7 linked regions of the Oryzias latipes genome follow. The protein of the gene in region 5 purifies or fractionates together with the protein of the main gene of each other region. This does not show direct contact. Links are inferred from orthologs where the notes say so. Each region holds a gene or a part of one and is shown on either strand. Other genes may lie near its edges. The genes, in order: E3 ubiquitin-protein ligase Itchy, dact1, vangl1, csnk1d, dvl2, nedd4l and vangl2.

Evidence for each region.
Region 1: the proteins of dvl2 (region 5) and E3 ubiquitin-protein ligase Itchy purify together in Homo sapiens (affinity purification with western blotting; 4 studies listed by BioGRID and IntAct, with this or other methods). This does not show direct contact. The link is inferred for Oryzias latipes from reciprocal best matches to the Homo sapiens genes DVL2 and ITCH.
Region 2: the proteins of dvl2 (region 5) and dact1 purify together in Homo sapiens (affinity purification with western blotting; 3 studies listed by BioGRID and IntAct, with this or other methods). This does not show direct contact. The link is inferred for Oryzias latipes from reciprocal best matches to the Homo sapiens genes DVL2 and DACT1.
Region 3: the proteins of dvl2 (region 5) and vangl1 purify together in Homo sapiens (affinity purification with mass spectrometry; 4 studies listed by BioGRID and IntAct, with this or other methods). This does not show direct contact. The link is inferred for Oryzias latipes from reciprocal best matches to the Homo sapiens genes DVL2 and VANGL1.
Region 4: the proteins of dvl2 (region 5) and csnk1d purify together in Homo sapiens (affinity purification with mass spectrometry; 3 studies listed by BioGRID and IntAct, with this or other methods). This does not show direct contact. The link is inferred for Oryzias latipes from reciprocal best matches to the Homo sapiens genes DVL2 and CSNK1D.
Region 6: the proteins of dvl2 (region 5) and nedd4l purify together in Homo sapiens (affinity purification with mass spectrometry; 4 studies listed by BioGRID and IntAct, with this or other methods). This does not show direct contact. The link is inferred for Oryzias latipes from reciprocal best matches to the Homo sapiens genes DVL2 and NEDD4L.
Region 7: the proteins of dvl2 (region 5) and vangl2 purify together in Homo sapiens (affinity purification with mass spectrometry; 4 studies listed by BioGRID and IntAct, with this or other methods). This does not show direct contact. The link is inferred for Oryzias latipes from reciprocal best matches to the Homo sapiens genes DVL2 and VANGL2.

What each region holds. Positions count from the first base shown.
Region 1 is NC_019865.2:2,030,875-2,035,098, reverse strand, and holds the start of E3 ubiquitin-protein ligase Itchy, read left to right. Parts: upstream 1-1,424; 5' UTR 1,425-1,570; intron 1,571-3,817; 5' UTR 3,818-3,839; coding exon 3,840-3,909; intron 3,910-4,224. UniProt on the Homo sapiens protein: Acts as an Acts as an E3 ubiquitin-protein ligase which accepts ubiquitin from an E2 ubiquitin-conjugating enzyme in the form of a thioester and then directly transfers the ubiquitin to targeted substrates.
Region 2 is NC_019880.2:2,437,629-2,441,658, forward strand, and holds the start of dact1 (dapper homolog 1), read right to left. Parts: upstream 2,801-4,030; 5' UTR 2,619-2,800; coding exon 2,052-2,618; intron 1-2,051.
Region 3 is NC_019860.2:16,731,598-16,735,097, forward strand, and holds part of vangl1 (vang-like protein 1), read right to left. Parts: intron 1,185-3,500; coding exon 753-1,184; intron 423-752; coding exon 247-422; intron 1-246.
Region 4 is NC_019866.2:24,949,525-24,953,024, forward strand, and holds the end of csnk1d (casein kinase I), read right to left. Parts: coding exon 3,350-3,500; intron 3,269-3,349; coding exon 3,098-3,268; intron 3,015-3,097; coding exon 2,866-3,014; intron 2,630-2,865; coding exon 2,461-2,629; intron 2,047-2,460; coding exon 1,934-2,046; intron 1,849-1,933; coding exon 1,798-1,848; 3' UTR 110-1,797; downstream 1-109. UniProt on the Homo sapiens protein: Essential serine/threonine-protein kinase that regulates diverse cellular growth and survival processes including Wnt signaling, DNA repair and circadian rhythms. It can phosphorylate a large number of proteins.
Region 5 is NC_019876.2:14,950,398-14,953,897, reverse strand, and holds part of dvl2 (segment polarity protein dishevelled homolog DVL-2), read right to left. Parts: intron 1,908-3,500; coding exon 1,731-1,907; intron 1,521-1,730; coding exon 1,296-1,520; intron 1-1,295.
Region 6 is NC_019870.2:9,923,245-9,927,241, reverse strand, and holds the start of nedd4l (E3 ubiquitin-protein ligase NEDD4-like), read right to left. Parts: upstream 2,801-3,997; 5' UTR 2,683-2,800; coding exon 1,585-2,682; intron 1-1,584. UniProt on the Homo sapiens protein: E3 ubiquitin-protein ligase that mediates the polyubiquitination of lysine and cysteine residues on target proteins and is thereby implicated in the regulation of various signaling pathways including autophagy, innate immunity or DNA repair.
Region 7 is NC_019875.2:3,190,949-3,194,448, forward strand, and holds part of vangl2 (vang-like protein 2), read right to left. Parts: coding exon 3,403-3,500; intron 2,173-3,402; coding exon 1,565-2,172; intron 1-1,564. UniProt on the Homo sapiens protein: Involved in the control of early morphogenesis and patterning of both axial midline structures and the development of neural plate. Plays a role in the regulation of planar cell polarity, particularly in the orientation of stereociliary bundles in the cochlea.

The sequences.
Region 1 (4,224 bases), on a different chromosome or scaffold from region 5:
CAGCTTTTATTTAATATATATTGGTAACAAAAAACGTTGTCAATTTAGCCTGAAGAAGTATTCAGTCATACTTCCTACACCATACGTACATTGTCTATAGTATACCTGCTATACTTATACTCAATTATGATTAATTAATAAAATAAACTTCAAGTGCACTACTTTTTGCCAAGAGTACCTTTTGAAAAACATATTATTATAAAAAATGAACAAACAATACATATGTTCATGTGGAAAAGTATAAATACACACATAAATGTGGTCATACATAAATGCTTAGATTTAAACATACCAGAGATTCATGTATGTAAGGAAATGTATGTAAACTAATATAAATGAAGAACAAGAATTTTTTTAATATGTCTAAGTAATCTATGTAAACATTTGAATTTTCGTATTTGTAATATTTCAATAATGCTTGAATGTAAATAAGGGAGATGGGTTTTTTTAAGCTTTATTGAACATAACATTAAATTACAAAACACAACATCAAGGAATCAAACAGATCATCAGCAGCAACAATAAATGCCATCATTCCAAACTTACTCATCCACATCAAGTAGTAATTGTAGCAGAAATGTATCAAAAATAGAATTTGCTGATAAGAAATAAAGTATCATAAAATATATAAAAGAGAATTAAAAAAAATAATGTTTACAATACAAAGTTTTCTTAGAGGCAGGGATTACATATCAAACAAAAGAAAACACAAATTGTTCCAGTGTAACTTTCTTTGGATGTGTTAATTTTTTTAATGTATTCATAAAACTGAAGCATCTCTATCTTAAATAGTATAAATTAGGAGTTTTCTTTTTTTTATTCTGCACTTATGTATGTAAGATTTAGATTGGAGAAGTAACAAATACATACTATTTTCTACTTTTTTATCATCAGAATTGAAATATGTGAGCATTTGTTTGAAGTTTATAATAATGTTACAATTAAATTTGATGTTTACAAAGCGTTTCCAAAATTCACGGGAAAATTTACAAAAGCAGAAAAGGTGAAGAACTGATTCGGGGAAATCAATACAAAAACGACAATTATTTTCTATATTTGAAAATTTGTGGTGTAAATGTTATGTAGAATGTTTTTCATGTATTTCTTTAATTTTGTTATTTATACAAAATAGGATCCACGCAATTCTTTCCAATTTATATCATTTAAAATAAGGGAGATGTTTTGTTTTTTTTAAACTTTATTGTTCAAAACAAATACAACAAATATGTGTGACAAGATCAATAGTCATAACAACGTGAATGCCAGGGGATGGTACATGTATTACAAAAGAAACATTACAGAAACAGATTCCTATGAATTGATTGGAAGGGAGATGGGTTTAGGCACGATTACGCGTTTCATCTACGTCACTCCTCTGGTCCAATCACCGCGCAGAGGGGGGAAGAGCGCACCCTATGCACCCCGCCTTGTTTCGGTCACGTGACAGGAGCTTACGAAGATGGTGGAAGTTTCTACTTCCTAAAAGTGAAGGCTGACTGAAACGACAACGACGAAAGCCGCGAGGATTTACCACCTGATCGCCGCGCGTTACACCATCTTCTGGATTAAGGTGAGACGATAAATTTCACCTGATAAATCAGAGGACTTTTCTCTCCGTCTGTGACTGCCTGACTTTGGGGTCTCCAGCCTGCTAGCCCGCGTCAGGCTAACAGGTTAGCAGCTAGTAGCCGTCTCTGTGGGATGGCATCAGGTTGTTTGTGTCCAGCTGACATTCAACACGTTCATAACAACTGCAGCTTCAATGCAAATGTAGCCGCTCCATGTTCAGCATCTATACACTTTGTTTGTTTCCTTCTCGTTTTGGTGAAGGAATTCGGCTATGTTAGCGTTAGCTTAAACAGTACACTTTCAGCTGGAGCAAATTATGTGTGTAAGGTTTGTTTAGCCACACTGGGTGGGACATGTTAGTGAAAGAAATTAGTTTTTGTTTTGTTTTTTCCGCGTAGCAACAACATTTAAAAACCTATTAGTATCCTACGCTGAGGATCGATAGACCATTTTACCTTTAGACACTCGGAATAACCACCTAGGAAGGTGAATCAGCAGTAAAAGAAAAAATGCTGTTGGATCGAGGCCCGATCTGACTGCGCCTGTCAGGCGTCCTTATTGACATTATGGGACATGTCTTCTGCTCAGGAGTGTCGTGAATCTCCTCTGGCAGGATAGATTGGTCCTCTTAGGATCAGTGGAGCCTCTGGAGAAGGCCTGATCGCGAGCAGCAGTTATCAGCAACCCGGCGAGGCGTGTTCCTCTGTGTCTTTATTGCAGGTTTAGCTGGACACTTATTAACTCATTGCGTGACCAAAGTGTCTGAGCTGTTAGTGCTTCATATTTATACCCCTTGTTGACAGGCCCAGACCCCCCCCCCCCCCCCCCCCATTTCTCTTTATAATGAATTGAGTCGTCTGATAGTTGTCTTTAAAAAGGACTATATTTTGAGTAAGCACATAGATTAACGCCCTGATTCCTATAGTGTGTAATTATACCTGTTTTGCTGATACAGTGTTAGTCATGGGGCGGTAGTATGTCTGTGACGTGAACGGTTAACAAGTTTAGTATTTCTAAGGGATTTCTTTTTTTTTCGACATAAAAAGCAGATTTTGTTTTAAAATAAAAATAGATGTAACACGTAAGGAATCCACAGCGAGACAAATGTTAATTATCAGACTGTGAGGGATTAAAGATAGTTAAAAATGGAAAAGCAAATCAAGTTGGAATTTAATTTTAATATCTGGAAAACACCTTCATTGACAGAACGGTCAGTCTTCTTGCTATGCAACAAAGTCGGTGGTTGCATTAAATTATTGACAAAGATCAAAGTGAAAGTTTACCCATCAGCCCCTTACTTTCTCCCATGTTGCCCTGAGTCACTGGGCCGGACAGACTGAGGACCATCTATTATTCAGAGATGTTTGGAGGAAACTGGCCATGCTGAAACACAGATCGTGTGTTTTATTTACCTGCGTAAGGCCGTCATTGTTGATTTAGTCTTGCTCATATGTTTGTTGGGCAAACATTTTTCTAAAAGAACATTCCCGTCTGTGAGATTCAAGCATAAATATTGCTTTACAGCGGCTCTTAAAGTGTAATAAAAAACACCATCTGGGTCCAATAAGCACATTTTTAATGTTCATCACAATCTGAAATCCTCTGGATATTTTCCATACTAGACAGATGTCCTCAAAAAAAACAAAATAAATAAAATAATGCAAATCAAATTCTTAATTTGATATTTGATCACCAAATTGAAAGTTAATTATACTTTGGACATTTTCCTGCCTCTATTTTATAGTTAAAGATGCTGATTTTTGGTTCAAGAAAGTCACATTTAGCTTCTTTTTTTGTTATCTCCTCAAAGGTTCATTCAGTCCTGTGGATTTTATTCCTGATATTATGGATCTGAACTTCCCGTTACTCTGGCTTAGTTTCTGTTTTGAATGCAAATGTCAGCGTGTGTTCATATTTCATATGTCGTAGCAAATTTAGAAACTGTTGGTTAAAAGTTTTTTTTTGTTTTTTTTAAAGGACTTGACTCAAAGTTTACAACTGTGGTGCAAATACTGAGTGTGAGCAGTGTAAACTCAAGCCTGCACTCACATTTATCCTTCCAGGATATATTCTAAAAAGATTCCAGTGGAAGCCATGAGAAGAAATAATTCTTTGCTAAATGACAGGATTATGCTTTTTAGAAAGAATCAGGAGTATATTAGTTTGCCAGTCTAAGACTTTTGTATGTAAAGACATGTTCATCGTCCTTGCAGGAAGCGTTCTAATAGTATTTCTTTTGGTGCTGCAGGGCCTCTTCTCATCCTTATGTCATGGCCAGTGGGCTCGCCAAGTCAGGCACTTCCAATGGTTTCCCTCTCAAGTCACAGCTGCAAATTAATGGTAGGTTTTCACTTTTGCCAGGAGTGCACACACACACAGAGGAACGTGTAATTATTTTCTTTTTCCTTGGATTTTTGTCACACTTTGAAACTAAAAGGTGTAAATGATGTAACAAAGGAACTTTCTGGAATTTTAGCTTTCAGGTTTAGGTTTTATTTCGCAGCTGTAGGTTCGCAGCTATGCTACAATAATGCATATTTATTGCATTCCTAGCATGTTAGGAAGCTCTAGCTTATGCTAAGAAAAAAAACACAGTTCTCTGTTTGAACCAACATAGGAGAGTTTTGTCTGGAGAATTTTTTTTTATGCAGGAAG
Region 2 (4,030 bases), on a different chromosome or scaffold from region 5:
CTAAGGGACAAAAATGGCAAATGTTTTACAACATTTTCAACAAAGTTTTGTGATGTTTTTGATTTTAAAAAATTAAACACAATTGTGGTTTTTAAGCGTCAAAGAGAACTAGACGCTCTTTCCAGCTGCAGTCCATCTGCTCATGTTCCTCACTCCAAGAACAAAGAGGCAAACTTTTGAATGACGAAGATTAGACATGAAACAGAAGAATACTGTTCTGTAACTTATCTCGTCTTCTCTTGAGGGAGTTTTTCCAGTTTGTTGTTTCAGTTGTGAAAACATCAAAAGTGCGTTTATACTGAAAGCACATTTTCACGCAGACCCACGAACAGAAATGACTCCAACATGGGATGAACTTTATTCATCTCCGCAGCTGAAGGTCCTTATAAGGTAACAAGCATAGGGACACACAAACGCACACACACACACACACACACACCCACACACACACACACAATCTGTTGCTCTCGCAGGATGGAAAACATGTGGGTTATGCGGCGCCACATTCCAGAGCTGAAACTGGCCACTGATGCTGATCATGTGACCAGAACAGCCGAGCTCAGCTGTAGTCTGTATGTGCGTTTATATCTGTTTACGACTGTGTGTTTTTGTGTGGTTACATCTGTTTGTTTGTGTTTGTTTACAACTGTTTGTGTCTGTTTACATCTGTTTGTGTGTGTTTACGCCTGTTTGTTTGCGTGTTTTTACTTCAGAGTGTATTTATGACTGTTTGTGTGTAAGGGTTTGTTTGTGTTAACATCTTTTTGTTTGTGGTTATAACTGTTTGTTTGGGTTTATGTCTGTCTGATTCTGTGTGTTTGCGTCTGTTTGTGTGTTAATGTGCATTTGTGGTAACATCTGTTTGTTTGTGGTTATATTTTTGTGTGCGTTACGACTGTTTGGGTGTTTACAACTTTTATTTTTGTCTGTGTTTACATACGTCTGTCTCTTTGTATGTTTACTTCTGTTTGTGTTTACTTCTGTGTTTATATCTGTTTGGTTGTTATTTGTTTGTTTCTGTTGTGTTCACCTGTTTATACTTGTTCATCTTTTCATGTTTGCTTGAACATGTGTGTTTGTTTGTGTGTTTTAGTTTGTGTATATGTGTTTGTCTACAGGTTTATGTTTGTTTGTGTGTCCCGCTCCTGTAAACAACCTGAAGCTATAATCTTTGATCAGTTTTGAAATCTGTTCTGTGGAGGTCAGCTGACCACACTCTGTCAGGCCCCGCCCACTTACCGTAAGTGGTTTTCTGGTCTCTTACTGAGACATCATCCTCATCTTCAGAAAGCAGCAGAATGAAGAGCCTAAAGCCCCTTTTCTGTCACTTTCTAAGCTCCATCCTGAAATTTCTGCTGGGTTCTCCAAGAGTGGTTCTGGTTGGGTTCTGCAGAGGAGCAGCATTGGACCCTTGAGACCGCACAGTCATGCAGATTCAGTTAAATCTGCTTGTGACTCTTGTTTGTGTTTAGCAGTTTCCATCTGAGGCTGCAGGACTTCGGTTTAAGGTTTTTGCTGGTGGAACACCGGGATGGATCCTGACAGGAATCTGAGCTCAGCATCACACCAGCTGGAGCTCTTTTTCTCATGAAACGTTCCTGTTGCCACCTGATGTTCTGAGACACAGAAGAATCCAAGACTGCACGATTATCTTTAGGTCTGATCATCGAGCATCTAGAAGTCCTTCAGCAGGGATTAAAAAAAGAAGAAAACCAAATAAACTGAACAAGATTTGGAACTCTGGAGCCACAGCAGAAGATCAGATGATGCAACATCTGATTTTCACTTGGTAGGACCTTCATGACAGCAGAATAAAGATCTGTAGAAACCTGAACTCATCCATCACGTCTTGCCCTTGTGGGCCAAAATCATTTCTGAAGAGATCTGCAGCCGACGGAAAGACTGAAAGGCTAAATCTGCAGAACCAGAATCAGAAATCTACACCTGATAAGAGGAAATCATCAGACTTCATCAGACTTTGCTCTGGTTTCACGCATTCCTCGACATGGATAGTTGGGGGGGGGGGGGGGGGGGGGGGGGTCAGGACCTACCAGCTGCCTCCTGAGCACCAGGATGTTCTCCTCGGGACTCAGCTGGGCCTCCCGATCCCCGGGCTTCTCCAGAGCGGTTCGGATGAGCACCTGCTGCCGCTGCCGCATGCTCTCCAGCTCGCTGAGCCCAAACACCACCGCGTCCAGCCGCTCCCGCACGGAGCGCAGCCGCTCCGCCGCGTCCGCCCTGTGACTGTCCCGCCTGCAGGCGCTGCTGAGCGGCATCTCCTCTGCGGCGACGGGGGCTCTCTGCGGCATCAGGTTCCGAATGACCCGGCAGGCATCACGCAAAAGCACCCGCTGACCCGCACCTGCGGGAACGAAGCGTGGGCGGCGGGCACAGAGATCCAGACACCCCGGAGTTGCAATGAAAAAGGGTGGTTCAGCGGTCCAGCGGCGGGATTCGGGTCCACATGGATGTGAGGATCCGGACCTGTTCGGGCCAGCGGTTCGGAGATCCAGCAGAGTCTCCCCAAAACCCGCTGCTGCCTCTGGAGCTCCCAGAACACTGAGCCAGAGCCGCTGCAGCGCAACAAAACCCCGCCCCTCGAGACCACGCCCCTTCATCGAGCCAAGCACACCGCCATGAGTGACGTCAGCTCGAAATAGATTCTTCCTATTGACTCCTTCAAAATAAAACAACCTAAACTAAATCCACTAAAAACACAAAATTCCAACGACATAACAAAGAAAAGGAGCATGAGAAGTAAGATTTAAAGGTCATTCATTGAACTTCCTCTCATTTCCATTAAAATAACAGATAAAGGTAATCCTAACGTATTATTAGTGACAGTAATTTGATTCTAATTTTAATACATATGTAATCTCAAAATATAGAAAAAAATTTAGGATTAAATTTCACATCACAATATTTCAGATCAAGTCTCAGATTTCCAAACTTTTGTTAAATATTGATGAAAACAGTTGTAAAATATTGAGAAATATTGATTGTAATTAGATTAAATTCAAATAGCAACAAATACAAAACATTTTGATGATACATTTAGTAGTATTCATCATTTGTGTGAAATAATATTTTCACTTTTCATATCTGGACCTTCAAAGTGACAGAAATTGTGTTTATTTTTCAGCACAACTACACTTGTTTGTGGTAGTAAAATCAACTGTTTATATTTCAAGCCAACGTTTTTATAATGTTCCAAGCTGTTCTATAGACTTCCTCTTCATTTTTGGTTCAGTGGTTTGTACTTGCACTGCACTTTTCACCTTCTTCCAGGTACAGAGCGGTTTACGAAAGCCACACATTTATTCACTGATGGCTGTATGATGGCGGAAGGCAAACCACTCGCCAGGCCGCTGAGAGCGAGGAGGGATTCAGTGTCGTTCTTAGGAACTCTGTGACAAAGATCAGGAACAGAAGCCTCCATTATGCAATAGAGGTCAACCGCTACACCTCTGCACCACAGCAGCAGCAGGATTTGTTCTGAAAAAGCAAACATTTTGACCAAACATTTATGTTCTAGATTTCTTTATAAAACTGGGCCAAAAATGTCCAGAATTTCTGTGGGAAGTTCCAACTTTTCTAAAACTGTTTCTGTTTTGGTTTTATCAGAATTTACATAACTTTTAGAAAATCATCTGTCACATAATCTGCAAACTTGGAAAATCTAAAATTCTTTATTCTAACCTTTATTGTGAAAGGAAGAGTAGTTTTTACTTTTTTAGCATGACACCTCTTTTCTGGGGTCCTAAAGCCCTCCAGGTTCTGTTTGATCCCAGACTCCGTTTTGTTTACCTGTAAAACCTGAGTTCTCCTTGAATTATTTTTAAAAATCGGATAGATGTTTGCTACAAGAACAACTAAAGCAGTTTCAAGAAAATAAACATTTTATTCATTTCTGCATTTAATGAGGCGGTGATAACAACAGCTCAGATGGGGAAAAAAAGGTGAGCTGGATCAGGCTTCAGGTAAACCAGAAGCCAAAATCTGACCCAGTATTCCACGTACAAAATAAAAG
Region 3 (3,500 bases), on a different chromosome or scaffold from region 5:
TATGCACAAAAGTCACGTCTGCTGAGGAAGATTAGCATCAGAAAATACTTCCTCACGTCTTTTCTTTTCATGACGGCAAACTTCTAGAGCACTGGAGTGGCATTAGAGGTTCAAAAACTCCTCCTGGAATAACCTGAGGAGCCCGTTTATCCTAGAGAATTTACAACTGACCCCAACCACAAAGCACTCTGGGAAGCACACGCAAGGAGTCAGAACTGAAAGGGTCTCGTCGCCGGGGATTCTCACCTGAGCTGTCCCAGGTTGTAGTGCCTCGTCTCGCCGTCTGTGGAGCGCGTGACGCATACGGAGAAGCATGGCTGAAGCTGGCGGAGCTCCAGCAGCACGATGGCCAGGTAGTGGATGAAGAGCAGGGCGTCCACAAGCGAGACGGCGTACTGAACGATGCCCTGGTAGTCTGCATCCTGCAAATGGGACAATATGACGCATGCAGCAAAGCACAAAATCAACGTTTTCAGAAGAAAAGAAAATAGACCCTGAAATGCTGGATACCCTAGGAACATAAATATTTAGAAACGTTTCAGAGAAAAAGCCTTTGGACCTCGTGTTTGTGTTTTCTTCAAGCATGCTGAAGCCACCAGAGTTTAAATTAGGTGTTTGGGTTGTGTTTTGTGATTTAGCGAGGCTCCCGAAGGCAGGAGAAATAAATCTGTGTGCATATAATGAGTGCTATCCCGCCTAATTAGCTTTTTTTGGGTTATTCAGTCAAGATTGTGGTTATTGTCTCCACACACCTGCGCTTCAAGTATCCGGACTGCGTAGAAGAGCCAATAGGAGATGACAAAGAGCAGCACCAGAACAGAGAGGAGGGCCCGAAACGCAAAGACCCGTGGGAGGCTTGCTCGCGGCGGCCTGAAGAAGAGTCCCCAGACGGCCAGCAGGAGGATGAGGAGCTTGAAGGCTATGGAGATGTAGAGGCCCTCGCAGGCCGTCCCGCAATTCTGCAGCTTGTCTGGCCAGAGGAGGTGGGGCAGCACCAGGAAGGCCAGCGGTGTGAGGAGCACCAGGACGCCCAGGATCACGGCCAAAATCCGGGTGAGGTAGCGACGACAGTTGAGCCCCACGCTGTCTTCCAGGTCCTTGGTGATGCGGACGATGTCCTCCTGGGACAGGCTGTGCTCGGACGTACCTGTGATGGCCGTGGTGGTCTCACCCCAGTTATCATCCTGGAAATACAAGGAGGACATATGATGCAAAAATAAAGGACCTTTTAATTCTGATAAGTTATCAATGTGTCTTTTCTTGAAGTAAAGTGAATTTTGTTTACAAAAACGGAAAGCGTGATAGGCATGCATTTAACTTAAGCAACTTGCTTGCAACCTTTGTGTAGAATAACTGGCTTTGACATCGAGAAACGCACAACAATATTATATACTTTCTGGAGCTCCAGTGTGCGATTTCTTTTAACCAATCACTACTGAAGCCGCAGACCAAAGAGATCCAGTTACCATGAATAACAATAAGTTGGAAGTCCCAGCTTTGAGTACCACATTCAGGCAAGGTTAACCACCACAGTAGGTAAGATGAACCACACAGGATGGAGCAAACAGGCCTTTTTAACCTTGTAACACAGGAGATGTCGCTGGAGACACCTAAATACCAAACAGTAACCCGCTTAACGCGATCAATGGGAGTCAGCTGATTCCTACGTGGAGAATAGTGGCTGTTCATATTGGCTTTGCACCAATAATGGCATCCGGCTGCTTTTCTTGGCGACCACCGACTGACGTTGATTGCCTAAACACTTCACTACTGTAAAGGGTTGCTTATCAGTGTAAAGCTGCTTTTGTCCCCTTCAAAACCCTCTGGAATTACCTTAGTTGGGTTGACCCATCCTGAACACTTAAAGAATTATGGTTGTCAAGACAAGAAAGGTGATCAACTCTCCATCACATGTTCATTAAAGTTCATCGCTTGTCCATTTTTAAGAGTTGTAGGGGTGTTGAAAATAGGTCAACAACTCAAAAGTATATTTTCATGGTTTGCATATTTTTGGTTAAGTGAAGAAAATATCTGAAAACTGACTGGCTTTTGGGTGTCAGCCGCCATCTTGGATTGCTGTTTTGCCTTCATGATCATCGCACACGTCACATGACTCAAGGCCCGTACACACCGGGACGAATATTCGCCAGGCGTTATTCGCCAGCGTTTTTTCGCCACGTTTTTTTGTGTTCACACCCAGGCAATTTTCGCTGTCGATGAGCCGAGTGAACATGCAATTTCATTCCCTGACATTAGATGGCGCTTAATGTAAACAGAAATACTCCTGTACACAAGGTGGCGCTGCGCAACTTTACGCTTCTTAAAGTCGCTTTTCACTCAGAAGAAGAGAGCAAGTATTTACGCGCTTGTCCGAATAATACAAAGAAAACATGAATATTTCAAGCACCAGTAGCTCCAACTGGTGCTTGGTTCGGGGATATTTTAGAATGTCCGTCATTATTTCTTCGCGGCTGTGTAGACGCTACTTGGCGTCTATCTTCTTCGCTGGTATGCGTGTTCAGCAAGGCAGTTTTGTGTTTGAGCGCCCCCAAGTTGTGTTTTACTGTAACTTCAGAAGCTCCAGACACGTGTGCAAAAGCGCCATTCTCATTGGTCGAATAGATTTCGACGCGAGGCGTCAAAAAAAAAAAACGAACCCGAGGCGTTTTTTTTGACGCTTTGACGCGTGGCGTTTTTTCGCGTCGGTGTGCACACTCTCATTGGTGCCCTTTGTTTAGTCACGAGGCGTTAAACGTGGGCGAAAATCGCCGGCGAAATTCGTACCGGTGTGAACGGGCCTTAAGAACTATCAAATGACATAGGGTAGTGCAGAAACCACAATAAGTTGCAACAATGGGTTCCTCCTTTAACAATGCTTCAGCAGCCAGAATATTAAAGACGCACAAAAAGCAAATCGCAGAGTTTACTTTCCCCCCACGGAAAATGGCGAGGAGAGGAAAAGGTCAGAGAGAGCGTTCCTGCATCCGTCGATAATGAATGTCAGCAGTGACGGAGCGGCACCGTTACAAAAACACAGATAAAGACTCTTTACATGACAGTCATAACAAGCTTGTAATGTGATAACAAAGCCGGCCATAAAAGGCCACATGACCAACAGTCATCAGCTGCAAGAAAATGCAATCAAAGATCTTTTCTTCTATCAGCCAAGAGCTATCCAGCTGAAATGAAGCCGTATTTAGGAATCACATCAGTGAGAAGAACCGCACACTGGCAGCAGGGGTTTATCAAGAGGATGCATTATGAACAGTACAGACAGGGGGTTTGGGAGGCGGAGGCGGAGGAGGAGGAGGAGGATGCACTGGAACAGAAAATCTCTCGGTAGCCTCCAGGTTTAAACCACAGAGCTGAAGCAGAACAATGGGAGGACACATGGAGCACAATCAAGTTAGGTTTTACCCCCCCAAAAAAGGTACAATTGTATCCAGAAGAGTGTTTATTAGTTCGAAATTCAAACGCAGACTTCTTTGTTTCTGAATTAT
Region 4 (3,500 bases), on a different chromosome or scaffold from region 5:
GGAGGTTACCACGGTAACACCGTTTCTGTGGAGTTTCATAGGGAGGACGCCACGCTCTCACAGCGCCGCAGGTGTTTGGAGACCAGAATGAATCCACAGAATGCAAACGTACAAGTACTTATTAATTTATTTACACAATTAAAAAAGCACAGATACAGTGGCATTACAAATGAGGAGCCAGAGTCCTGGGATGGGAGTGAAAAGAGATTCCCGTGGATCCACGGCGTTCCCTCCGCAGGCCGGAGCGTCCTCCAGGGGGAGGTGACAGAGCAACGGTGTTCTCACATCCAACATCAGTGAGACACACACGTCTATCATCACATTGTTGTTTTCAAGGTGAAATCTATTCAGGAAAACTACAGACACGGCCTCAGCATGGCGTCTACTGGAATGAGGCGCCCCCGCCCCCTCTACACGTCAGGCTCCTGCAGCGGCTGCCGAGGACGTGGAACAGAGCAGGCGATGCATCCTACACACCACAACACAACTACAACCCCCTCAGCTACACAAACCAACCACTTCATCACACAAAGACATCTCTACTTTAAAGCCCCGCGGGTTCCGGTCCGATCAGGAGATCCGGCCCAGGAGGCGTCTGCGTCTACAATCGGTCAACAGCTGGGAAGGCTCAGAACTGCTTCCTTTGGGGTCACATTCAGGGCCGCCTCCACAGAGATGTTCCTGAATGCAGCACGAAGCCATCCCCTGATCCGGACGCCAGGACCTCGGGTCGGGACTCCAGAGAAAGAACCGTAGTGACTGAGGTGAAGGTGGATAACAGTCTTGGGTTCAGTAAAAATCTAAGCGGGATCCGACACAAACTGACCGCATTAACAGCGATTTGGAGGCGGAGCTGTTCACACGAGCAGCAGCGACAGATTCTCAAAAATAAAGTTAGGAATCTGGAAAAGTCCCGTCACACAAGACCAACGGCTGCAACAACCCGTGTGGAAAGTCCAACCGGTCCTGTCTGACGCCAAAGGAAGCAGACGGAGACGCCATACAGGCCCAGGTGAAGGTACAAAAAAAGGTCAAAGGTTAAATAAAAAAAACCTGCTCACCCTGATCCCTCACCCCTTCCAGAGTGTGAGACTCTGAGACAGAAGCACATAAATACACACAAACACACACGGCTCTAAAAACACCAGCCGCTCTGCCATATTCACAGTTTTCTGACCTGAACGCCACGTGGCGTCACAACCGGCGCTCGGACCGCAGCCGTCGCGTCCCACAGCGGCGGCACAACTCAGAAATTAAGACAAAGTCACTTTGTGGGCATGTGAGGTCAGCACAGGCTCTCTCCATGCCCGTCCCACCTGAAGGGAGCAAAGACACTCGGCCGTGCGGCACAGCTAACGCTCCCTTCACGGGCTGCTACCAGGCCGAGCAGCCGCTTCAGGAGAAGAGAAAGTACAAGTTAAACCATAAAGGAGGATGAATCCATGGCTTCATCACCAGAAGGGAGGAGGAGGAGGCATTTCCACATCTTCCACAAGACAGGAAGAAGAGTTTTTGTGGCTGCTACTTTGCCAAGATGGTAGTTAAGGCAACCAAACCGCTCCACCTGCCCATCCCTTTGTCTCCCACACACACACACACACAAACACAACATCCCGACTGTGCGTCTCCTTCCACGAGTGAACAGAAGCACAGCCGGGCTCTTGTGCTCTGGTTGGCGGTCCTCGGCGTCACGTGAGGCTTCTGGCAGTCCGTGCGGAGGAGTGTGAGCGAGTGTGCGTGCTGCAGGCGGTGCGAGTTGAGGCCTCCGTGGTGGACAGGTGGACGCAGGGGGGGGTTTCACCGAGGGGCTGCAGACTGGAGCCCGCTGGGCGTGACCCGGGACAGAGCCTGGGAGACAGACGCAGGTGTGAGGGTCAGAGCTCTGCTGGGAAGGTCTGCTGGTGTCAGCAGAAAGGTTTGACAGACTCCTCACCTGCGAGGTGGACATGCGGGACGTGTCCTGGCGCCCCGTCAGGTCTGAGGAGGAGATGTTGACGGGGGCTCCACGATGAAGACGCATGCTCACCTTCCTCTCCTTCTCCATGCCTAAAGGAGCAGCAGCACACATTCCTGGTGAGCTGCACATGAAAGCATCCGTCCCCTAAAGCAGCAGCAGCAGCAGCAGCAGCAGCAGCAGCAGCTTCTGCTTCCTTCACTGGACGCGACGCTCTTCTTCCTCACATTGTAACTGTAACTTTCAGTCGGTTACAGATGAAGGCAAACAGCAGTTCTATGACAAACAGGAAGATGGAGGGCAGCTGCTTTTTATGAAAGTCATCAAAAACACCCGTTTTAATATTAAAGTCTTTATCCACCGACTTTTTCTGCTGCTGCTTTCAGTTGACTTTTTGTTTTTTAATGTCCATAACTGACAAAAGGAAACAGAACATTAGAAGACCTGCAGCGGCCCGGCCTTTGACCCCACGGAGCCTGAAAACCAGACTTCCGAAGCGCTCTGACCTGTGTGAGAGGCGGGGTTGAGAGGGGAGGGGGCCGCAGCGTCCTGGGGGGCCCTGGCTCTTCCGGAGCCGGACGGCATCCCTCTGGCTGCGGGGTTCCTGCCGTGCCTCAGCCTGTCCTCGCGCTCCCGCCGCTCCCTCTCGGCGTCCTCCACGGCTCTGTTGGCTCCCTAACGAGACAGTCATCCATCTTTGCGTCAACGACGGCACGAAACGAGCTCAGAGGAGCCGAACAACATCCCAGGACGCCATGGGAGCAGATGCTCCGGAGGACGTGTGTGTCTTACATTTCTGTCTGTCTTAATGTTTTGAAACCTTTAAATTAAAACAAGTCTAGGTTTAAAACCCAAACATGTTTGGAAACCTCCTGAATGAGTGGTGTGGGTTGAAGAGCACTCTGACTTACAAACTTGAGCATGTTCCAGTCAAAGACGTAGTCGTAGGAGAAGCCTTGACGGTGGAAGAGGTTCCTGAAGAGCTGCCGCAGGTACGAGTAGTCTGGTTTATCGTCAAAGCGCAGAGAGCGGCAGAAGTTCAGGTAGGTGGCAAACTCGGCTTCAGAGGGAGGAAAACAGAGGTGAGAACAGGGCAGACTAGACGGAGAGGAGGTTCAAACGCCGCCGCTGTCTTTGACCTACATGGGTAGCCTTTGCAGAGGACCTCAATGGGCGTGGACATCTTCTTCTCACTGATGCGCTCATACTTTTGCCTCTTGGTTGCAGCTTTCAGGCCTTGCCAGGGGAGGGAACCCAGGTTGAAGTACATGAGGACGTATCCCAGCGACTCCAGGTCGTCACGCCTGGACTGTTCTGGAAAACAGGAGGTGGAACATCAGAGTCTGCCGGCTGCAGAAGAACGACTGGCCCCGCCTCCGCCTGAACTGCTCTTACCGATTCCCAGATGTGTGTTGATGGAGGCGTAGCGGGCGGTGCCGGTCAGGTTCTTGTTCTCGCGGTAGGGGATGTGCTGGTGTGTGCGCGCGTCACGGTACTTCTTAGCCAGACCGAAGTCGATGATGTAGACCAGGTTTCCCTTCTTGCC
Region 5 (3,500 bases):
TTCAGCGCCATCTTGAATGCGCATGACATGCCTGTATGTAGTCTAAGATATGAAGTTTGGGTTTATTTAACGCTCTAAAGGTGCATTTAGACTCGGTGCTAGGATCCCTGGTAGTTGTCTGCTTGTTTGTGTGTGTATGTGCTCTTGCTCCTGTAGAAGTCTGCTCCTGCACAGCTGCTGACTCCGCCCCCTCTGCAGAGCTGATTGAGGCTGCTACCAATCGCCTGGCTTGGAGGGAAGCTTTAAAAGCTCCCAGGATCCTTTGCTCCAGTGGCGGCTGCATTCCTGGGTGGGAATTCGTTCTTCAGCTTGCCCCTGCTGTCTGCCTGGCCTTTGCCTTTGAAAGCCTCTAGTTTCCCTCTTAGTTTGAATCTGGTTTTGTCCTTCTGTTACATTTACTACTGTGGCCTTTTGTTTGCATTATGAGTCATTTGGAGTTTTGTATTTCTGTCTTTGGTGTCTTGCTATAAAGCCTGAGAATTTTATTTATACCATTATTTATCCCCCCTTTGGTGTTTTTTTGGTTATTTTCCTTTAGTTCCCTTTGATTTTTATGTGTCACCAAATAAACGGCTGTGTGGCCAACCTTGACCCCGCCCAGTTATCATAATTTTCTTTATGTTACCTATTTTCTCCCTCCTCCCTAAAGAGGGAGGAAAGAAATGTTGAATATTAGCACTTCTTTTGTTCCTACTTTTTTTTCCTTTTACCTCACTTACCGGTCATTTTTCCCCACAGTTGCCACAGCGCTCACGTCACCTCTTCTTTTTGCTTCCCGTCTGGAGTCTCATTCGTGTTCACACTGTAGTGAACTGCCCCGGGTTACACTTGCCTGCCGACCCGAACTCTGTTTTGCAGAGTTCAGAAGAGCTTTTGCGGAACGAAGCAAACAGTTCTGGTGTAAATTTGCTCAACAGACCTGCTCCTTACAATAAACCGCAAGTTTTAACCTGGCGGTCTCTGAACTTTTTCAGGTCACAGATCGGTTCCACGTCAGGCAAAATGGGGGTCTGATTTTTCTATTTTTAGTTTCCCGTAACTTTTATTTTGAGCAAAAGACTCCAGGTTTTTGTCTGTTAAATGCAGCTTTTATTTTGAAGTCTAAGGCTTTCAAAATACGTTTATTTGTTACCTTTTCCAGCTTGAGTCAGTGGCTTTAAGCGGATGGATTGTCAACCGAGCACCTTGACATGCGTCGAGAATGAGTTGGATGTGGCTTTCCAAAATAACTCTTTCAAATACTGAATCAGCAGGTATTTGAGCGCTGTGAGAAAATATGGCGAGTCTGCGCTCACCCTCGCTGTGCTGGCTGCCGGTGCTGCCGGGGGCGTAGCTGTAGCTGGTGAGTTCGTGGTACGGAGGAGGCTGGCTGGAGTAGGGGTGGGTGGGGTAGGCCTGGTAGGGAAAGGTGTGCATCATGGGCCACGGAGTGGCGCCCGGGAGGGGCAGGGGGGCCAGGGTGTCCTGGTCGGAGGCGCCGCTGGAGCCGTCGTTGTCGTTCAGGGACAGATTAGCCATGTCTGTGGAAGACAGGAACTGTAAACCACTTATGCTTCGTCTGCAATAGGGTTCATTCTGTGTGTCGCGTCATTTTTAAAAGGGCTTCATCGTGACGATGCTTTTCTACTCGTCATTAAAGAAACCCCTCCAAAATCTATTTAATTTAACCGTGTGGAGTCCACAAGAAAGCAGGTTGTTCCTTTGATGTGTCGAGTTCTCCGGCGACTCACAGTTCTCGCAGTCGCTCAGGTCTCCGAACACGTAGTAGCACTGCTCCGAGAAGGTGATCTTGTTGACGGTGTGGCGAATGAAGCCGGCCTTCAGGAGGTTGCTGGCGTACTTCCGGGCTTCCCGGCGGTCCTGAAATCCTTCAATGTGGTGGAAGAGCCACTCCACTACGTCAGAGCCTGAAGACACGGAGAGAAAAGGGAAAAAAAAGTTCCCTTTCATTACGTTCATTCATGCCAAACATCTTCTTTCTGGTCGAGATGCTTCAATGAGATGGATAGTTGCAGAAGTGACTGCTGGAAGAGGAACAAACACGTTCTGAACAGAAAGACTAATCTGATGACAGAGCCTGTCTGAAATAACCCTTACCAGGTTCCAGGAGACATCTAGAACCGTAGCCATGCACCCGTATGGGGGTTGGCGTGTGCGGGTGCTGCGGGGGTCTGGGCTCGTGAAGGGCCTTAGACCAGAGCGCATCTTAAGGGGGGCGCAAACCCAACTAGTGTGTCCAGTTTGAATGTTAAGTCACTGAACAGAAGCCAACAGACGTCTGACACACATTTTGAGCATCAGGCGCAAAGCAGCAATCTACCAGCAGCAGCAGCAGCGTGTTTCGAGTGTCGCCATGTTTCAAAATCTAAACATTGGTAAAGAATTTGTGTCCATCAACCAATCAGAGACTCAGCTGTGGCCCGTGACGCGTTATTGATTTGATCAGTGGGTCCAAAACCAGCATGGAGAATTTGACAATTCTACTCATGAAGTTTATTTTTCTCATTTGTATGGGACAGTAAATTTGTTTCTTATTTTTATTTTATTCTTAATTTAAAGTTTTTCCCCTCCTCTGACTAATGCGGGACAGATCAAACAGTAAGGGCAGTTGTGACTAAACCATAAACCAGCTTTATAGTAATGTTCTCTACATTATTATTCTATAATGTAATTAACTTTGTGTTTTTAAATTGTAAACGACCTGCATCAATCTTTCCGAATAACTTTTTGTTAAGACTTTAAATTGAATTTTTGGGGTTTTTACTACACAAACGTGTCATTTCATCTGTTTTTTGTCACCATTTGGCTTTCAGATATCCCAACAGTAATCCACAGGTGTTAATAGATCTGACAGTGATAAAGTAAATACGCCCGTGGAAGTCTAAAGTCTGCAGCCAAAACTGGCCCCCCCTCATCTTTCCGACCTACTGCAGATCAAAACGCCCTCTCGTTCTTTTCGGTTCTCCTCCTCTGTCCAGCTCTCTGTTCCTCCGGCTCGACTTGTTACCATGGGAACCTGAGCCTTCAGCTGCTCAGCTCCCTCCTGACCTCCCGACCTCCGTAACATAGACTCTTTACAAACTTTCTAATCAAAACTCATCTGTTTATTTCTGCCTTCTCATCTTGATTCACTTTAGATTTTTTGACTATTTCTATTTATTGTGCTTTTAATGATTATTTTAACCTTTGTTTTATACAGGTTGGGTTTCTTGAAAGGCGCTTCTAAATAAAATGGATTATTATTAAAACATTATTAAAGCTTTTAAATAAAACAACAAAAAGTAGAGCAGAAGTAAAAAAAAAAGAAAGAAAAAGAAAAACTTGGACAGACTTCTGAATACTGCTTGTGATTCAGATGCAGATGATCTCAATTAAACAGATGTTATCTGGACCACCCCCCCACCCCACCCCCAATCCCCCTGTCACACAAGTCACAGGGTTTTAATCCAGTGAGTATAATGGAAACCCTGTAAAGTCCTGGAAGCCCGGAGAGTTCACTG
Region 6 (3,997 bases), on a different chromosome or scaffold from region 5:
TTTAATAAAATTTTAAAATAACTACAAAAAGATGCAGAAACATGTCTGAATTACATCCAATTTTATAAATGATGTGGTCTAAACTTATAACCCATGACTCAGAATTGCACAGAAACGATGTTTGAAGTTAAATCTTAATCATAAAGATCCCCAATGGGAATTTTTATAAGCAGACTTGGAGTTTAATGATCCCCTTTTAATAAAACTGAGTCTGTGCACTAGTTCCCATAAGAGATATTATTTTTTATGTATATGGTTTGGCATTCATGTGCTGTGGGTTATACAGTATGGTATATCAAAAACATGGTTCAAATTCTGAGAGCTTGGCAAAAAGTATGGTATAAATAAAAATCTATAGATTACAAGTTACACTATGAGCGAATTTATCTCAAGTCCCTCTTATGGGAGATTAGGGGTGGAAAAGACAATATTAACATCAGCCTTTCTTTAAAAAAAACAGTATAGATTCCTAGCTATAGCCTAATAATTATATTTTAAACAATAAAATATGGTTCTTTAAACGTGTTTACCTTCTTTCTGTGTCACTACCTAATGGTACTCTTGGGGCATTAAACCAATGACTATGACTTAACACTAAAATGACTAAAACAGATGAAGCAGGTGGTTGTGTAATCTTTATTCTTTCTATTGGGAAAATGTTTAAGTGATTAAAGCTTTTGTTTTGACACTACAGTCGTGAAACTTTTGTCGACTGTTCGAAGGCTGGCAACAGGTTCTGTGGTCCAGAAGACACTGTTTTTTTTGTTTTGTTTTGTTTTTTGGTATTGGGAATGGTACGATGGGGAACAGCTCAAGTACAGTTTAAAATAAAGCTAAATAAAAGAGTTTAAAACAGTGATAGGGAAAGAGAGAGGGAGCTAAAAATACACCAACAAATATTTTTAGATCCTTTGGACTTTTAGCAAAATGAGGTATTGATGATTGCATTTCTTCATCCGTACTTGAAATGTAATGATATTTTAGATCTTAATCACTGGCAGTGCAGCTGCTGCTAGAATACAGATCCGTTCCAGTCTACAACCAGAGAAAAGACATTTCACTAAAATAAACACCCATGACTGAAATGATTTAAAGATGAAGGAATTAACTTGATAAAAAGCATTTCTTAAAATCACGATTATGATCAAAAATCTACATTTCAAATGTCTATAAAACAGAATGTAACAAATGAATTGTACATTTATCCAGATGCCTGTTACTCCTTTTCTTTCATAGCTGATTTGGCTCGTGTGCACAACTTCAAATGCCTGTGGTTGTGAAGAAAGAGCAAGTGTCTAATTCCGTTTAGAAACAACTCTGTGCTTTCTATACGGTTCCCAGCAAGTTACCACCCTCGTTCTGCATTGTAACAACATTTCCTGGTCTCTCACTAAGGTAAATAAACATCTTCAAACAGTGCTCACTGAAACACCAGATAAAAATCGTCCATTTTTCCACCATTAAAAAAAGGTCGGCATTTATTTATGCAAAAGTAAGGCTTTTTTATGTGAATTAAACAGCCTGTTGCAGTAAAAATACCAGAAACAAGCCATGGTCCAACTCAATAGCAAATTATTTCATTACCTTGGGATTATTTGTTGATTCTTTGCCAATATTAACTTCCTTATCTCCACCTCCACTCTGGGAAAAGTATATCTTGAAATGTGGTTGCCTTCTGGGGGCTTCCTCTTCAATTTTAAAAACACAACCATTCGACCCGTTTTTAGTTTCTGCCTCAACATAAGTTGGATTCTCCTCTATAGTCGGATATTCTGTTCCGCTTTCCAAGTGTTTATCCTCCAGCAAAAGACTTTGTTGGGATGAACTCCGGTGGAATCTAATTCTTGGATAACGCACTGTTTGTAATCCTCTAGTACTGCTTTGCCCAAAGTCTGAGCATTCTTCCTGATGGGAAGTTGACTCTTGTCGTCCCTGGTAGGTATTTTTCTGGTCTTGCTGGAGCTGAAATACTAGTCTTTGTGTTGTCCCATTAACATCAAAGCAGTGATCCAGGCTCTCCTGTTGGACAGACCAACCCGCACCACCGTTTGGAAGAATCCTAAAATGCTGGACATCAGAACCGTTAAGAGATTTTTTCTTAATACAAATAGTCCCAACACTATTACCAGGTTGGAATCTGTTGAAAGCAGCATGGCCCCTGGAACCAAGACAAAACACTCTGCGTTTGGGAAGGTTTGGCTCCATCAGACAAGACTGTATGTTTAAGGAATCTGGGCTGTAGTATGGAGGCGGTGGCTGTTGTGGAAGGTCAGCTCGAGTCCTTAGTTCAGTGTATGCAGGCGCAGGTCCTGGAGGAGTATAAGAGGGTGGTGGGACATCATCAACTCCGGTAGGCTCTCCGTTACTTGATTCACTTGAGCGATGAAGTGATATATGCATTGATGAGCTCTTAGTTGCACGTGGTTCGGCAAAAGCAGCAAGATGGGGTATGAACATCGAAGAGCTGCGTTTCAGCAAAGGCTCAGACTGTAAAGCAGAACTAGCTGAATGGACATTCTCCCCAGCTAACACTTGAGGTGGCCTTGACAGAAAAGGTGTGGGAGTGAAGACTACTGCAACCTCCTCACTGTCTTCCTGCTGTTCCTCCGAGTCTCCCTCCAGTATCTCTGGTGCTGTATTGCTGCGGCCAGATCCAAAGTACAAACGCAGACGTTGGGCCATTTTACTCTCCGTCCTCCAGCTCCAAAACCCCCACACTTTCTCCGACTGGTTTTAGGTTCTCCTCTCTCCTCGTGTCGCCCACTTCTTCTCTCACTGACTGGATAACTGATCCCCTTTTTCTTCCACCCACCTCGCCCTCCCCCTCCCAACTTCTCAGAGACTCTTCCACAACTTTCCCACTCAGTAAACTGTTCGCAGAAAACCAATTGCTCAACAGAAACATGGCAGTCACTCCAAAACAACTGACAGCATTTGAATAAAAGTAAAAAGAGGAGGAAGAGGAAAACCAGAAAGGAAGAGCAAGTAAAACTTTAAAAAAATTATATAGAAAGGGGATCCCTCTTTCCTTGGTAGCACTACCAAGCACTAGCGACAGACAGCAGAAATAGCCTTAGTCAAGTAACAGCCAGCATTCCTGACATGATTGGATAAGGGCCGCCTGGGCTCCTGGTTACTGAGGTGACAGTGGGGTGTCTGTGGGTCACGTGACTGTAACTGGCCCCCACCACCTCTTCTGGAAACCTCATATTGCCCTCAAGTGCCAAATACACCCCCCCTCAAGCTGCACCCAGCATACGCATGTGTGCGCTTCTCTGGTTTCATGATTAGTCATCACACAACTCTTTCCTTTCACAACAACTCCTAATAATGTTCTTTTTTAGGGTCGCATTAAACCTCTTCTTTAATACAACACTGCCACTAGAGCCAACTTTAAAAAAGTATTTTAGGCGGTGTAAATTACAGACACTGACCCAATTTATTTACAACAGACACTCGTATACCTTGATCTTTTAGTATATCACCTCAATGAGGGAAAGAATAGGAAAAAGAAAAGAAAAAATACAGCCACAAACAAACGATCCATATTTTACGTTTACTAGGATAACTTGTTATAAAAGAAGGTAAGCAGGTTCTTGCGAATACAATACAATTTAGAGATAACATTAAAGATGCAACTTTAAATTAGGACGGTAAAATGTTTCCTGTAATTAATTGCAGCTTGTACACACACAAAAAAAACAACCTGTGTAGACTGTTGCTAAAAATACATCACAGAAATGGCACAGAGAGGCCAAAATGGACTTTTCATGACAGCAGCTTTGATTCAACGAAAAGGATACTCCTTTGAGGAAAGATGGATCAGTTAGAAAAAGTCATTTCTTCCAACACACTTTCAACTACCTAAGTGGCTAATGGAATAATGGCCACATTGTTTTTCTCCCATAGCTGCCAGAGATTATTCGGCTCTAAACCTTGCCCTGAATTCCCATCCAGCGCCAAACCACAATGCAAATCACCAGTGTATTAGCATGCC
Region 7 (3,500 bases), on a different chromosome or scaffold from region 5:
CAACACAGAAGAAGTCTGATCAGCAGGTGGATTCCAAAGTCAAAACGGAGGGAAATCTAATCATTGTCCTCCTGAACTTCATGAAACACTTCTTTTCTTGCTTTGAGACATTATTATTTATATTTTTGCCCCTCCTGGGACCAATGTGGGACAGCAAATTGTCAAACTGGGTCACAGGGAAGCAGAAGTAGCGCTGACAGCAGCCGTTGTTGGTACCAAAAGTATCCGGCCTGCAATAACTGTTCGTGGTCCTGCGATTGATGATGATGTCACATTATGTGATTGGCTATACGTTGGTCAGATGACGTTTAATGATTGGTCCGCAAGTTTACACGCCAACACCGTTATCCGTGAGAAACATGGATGACTTGTCCATGAAGATCTCCCCCCATGTATCACAAGGGACTTTCAGCGTATCTTCTGTGGCCAGCTGTGGAGACCAGCAGAAAACTGGATTCAAGACATTTAGCATTTGTTTTAGTGCTAATGCTTTGTTTTTTGGTTGGTTGTTTGTTTCAATAACTTGAATAATACATAAAATTTAACATAAAAATATGGTGTTTGTGCTGTTTTTTTTGTAATTAGTATATTAATGCTTTCAATGTGTTTAAAAAAGAAAGAAATGTAAACTTTTAGGCCAATTAAACCAGACAGTACACCATAAATAAATATTGTTTCTCATACAGTCATTTACTCACGTTGGAAAAATAAGTTTATATTGCCAATGTGTCTCTCTATTATAGATCTGGTGTAACAAACAATTATGTCAGACACACCTTAAAATTCAAAATAGCATTTTTAGTTATGAGGGAAAGAATTTATATAGAGCCCTAGCAGATCTAGACCCTACGTAACTATGTAGTTTGTCCAAGCAGTGTTACCGTAGTGACGTCATCATTGGTGGCAGGACCACGAACCGTTATTGCAGGTGGAATACTTTTGGTACCTACACCGTATTTCTGACGCAGCTCCTGCAGAAGACGATGAAGATGAACCGGGAGAGTCTCTGAATGATCTCATGAACCCAGACGGGATTACAGATGTTTGTTTAAATCAACCTGATCTCTCAACATCATTCAGGTCTTCCATGCATGAAATATACAGTCCATGCTTCCATGTAGAGATGATGGTAGCTCCTCCCACATGCGGCCAGGTGTCTCGTTTAACTCTTGTGCTATCTTGTGGGGTCCTGATGAGCCCACTCCCAACGTTAACGTGTCTCCAAATTAACGTTGGGAGTGGGCTCATGAGGACCCCACAAGATAACACAAGGGTCAAGAAACACGCTTTTGGACAAGCGTCGAGCAGCAAATTTGATGAGCTCGGTGTGAACACAGAGTCACACCGAGCTCTGTGGGGTTGTTTACTTCTCTCTCAAAAGTGAGACTCGTATATGATTTTTTTCTTTTCTTTTTTGCCTTTTTTGGGCGGGTGCGACTTATAGTTTGGAAAATACAACAACTGCAAATGTGCTACTGAGAGTAAAACTAGTGATTTCAACACAGAGCGGCAATGATTCAGCTGTAAACTTCCAGGAAGTGGGAACCGTGAGTCCACAACAAACCTGAGGTGGCCCACATTGTAGAATTTGCTGGCTCCATCTGCGGTCCGGACCACCTTAAGACAGAAGGCTGGCTGCAGGTGTCGGACTTCCAATAACACCAAAGCCAGGTACTGGATGAAGAGGAGGGCGTCCACAAGGGAGGCGGCGTACTCCACGATGCCCCTGTAGTCCCTCTCCCTGGGCTCCAGCACTCGCACGCCATAGAACAACCAGTAGGACGCCACGAACAGGAACACCAGCACCATGAGCAAGCAGCGGAAGACGAAAAACCGAGGCAGGGTGGCGCGGGGAGGACGGAGGAACAACGCCCATGAGGAGATGAGGAGAACAAGGAGCTTGAAGGCGAGCGAGACGTAGAGGCCTTCGCAGGGCGTCCCGCAGACCTCAAGGTCGTCGCGCCACAGGACCTGAGGGAGGATGAGGAAGGCTAGAGGCGTGATCAGAGCGAAGAAGCTCAGGCAGCCTCCCAGCACCGGGCCAATAAAACGCTTGCACTGCAGAGGGGTGGAGTCTTCCAAATCTTTGGTGGCGCGGGTCAGGTCCTCATTTGAGATGCTGTGTTCAGAGGTGCCTGTGACCACAGTGGTCGTCTCCCCCCAGTTATCGTCCTGAAGATGAATAGCAAAGGACAAAAAAACATGTCAAACGTGTTCAAATCCTTCAAAAAGGGAAATTTTACTCCATTTTTGTCTGTGAAAACAGGCCTTCCAGTAAGCACGCGGGTTTGGAATTTAAGCACGCTGAATCAAATCTGCAATAAATCCTTTTTCTATCAAGAAAACCCAGGAGTGTTTCTATAGAGATCCTTTTTAAAGCATTTTGAAACAGTCTAATCCCCACTTTCAGTCACAAATGTCCTTAATCGTCTCGAAACCTTTAGAAGGAATAATGCTCTTTAGTGTCATGCCAGTAATGGTGACAGCTTGGCTTACCGCGGACACCGACAGCCCTTCACTATTTACTCAAAGAGCCCCTCTTTGCTTTAGCGTGTCTCCTCTGCCTCCTCAAAGACAGCCGCTCTCTGGTGTTAAGCTGAAGGCTCTCAAGTCTTTGAGGAGAACACAAATGTCAACACCTGCTCTTTGCCCGCTGACAGGATTCAAACAAAACCACCAACTGCTCCGATGAAACACAACTGAGCTGTTGAGAGAGGGCGAGGGCCCACTTAGAGAGAGAAAAGGCAACATCTGCTGGGTCAGTGGGAATCAATCCACGACACCTCCTCTGTTAAAACAGCTGGGAGGTCCCCATTCCTTCACCGTGGACTAGAGACGGGGAACTCTCTGCTTACCTGGACTGACGTCTCTGCATTAACAGCAACTAGTACAAAAGCCTAACCAGTGGTTAATGTTGGGAATAATTCTGTTTAAAGGGTCTTTATGATGCAAAGTCAACTTTTTGAGCTTTTAAGTGTATTATTATGTTCATTCCTCACAGAAAACAACCCAAAGTGGTATTTTGATCCATTCACGCATGTGTGAGCATTCCTCTAAAAACCTGCTCTCTGAACACCAGCCCCTCCCAATCCACCAAAACGAGTGGGCTCTCACAGTGTGACATCACAAAGGGAGGAACAGCCCCTTCCAGGAAGAGTCTGTGCTACCAGCTCCGCCCCCAGACTAACACACACGCCCACTTTCTGTGTGGAGCTAGCGGTGATGGGCTAAATGCTTTAACTTTATCTGCACAATATGCACATCCATCTCTGCAAAAGTTGGGATGCTGTTGGATATTTTCTTTAGTGTGCCAAAGGTAATATCTGCTCATGTAGTTGACTCTGAAAGGCTTGAGAAAAGCATGACATGGGCCCTTCAGAGGGAAACGTCAGAGCCGCTGACCCGGTCATCTCCACGGGTGGACTCTGCATCCAGAAGCGGCTCTCCCGGAGTTTGGATGGTGACCGATTTGTCTCCACGACTGCTGCTGTCCCTGCTCT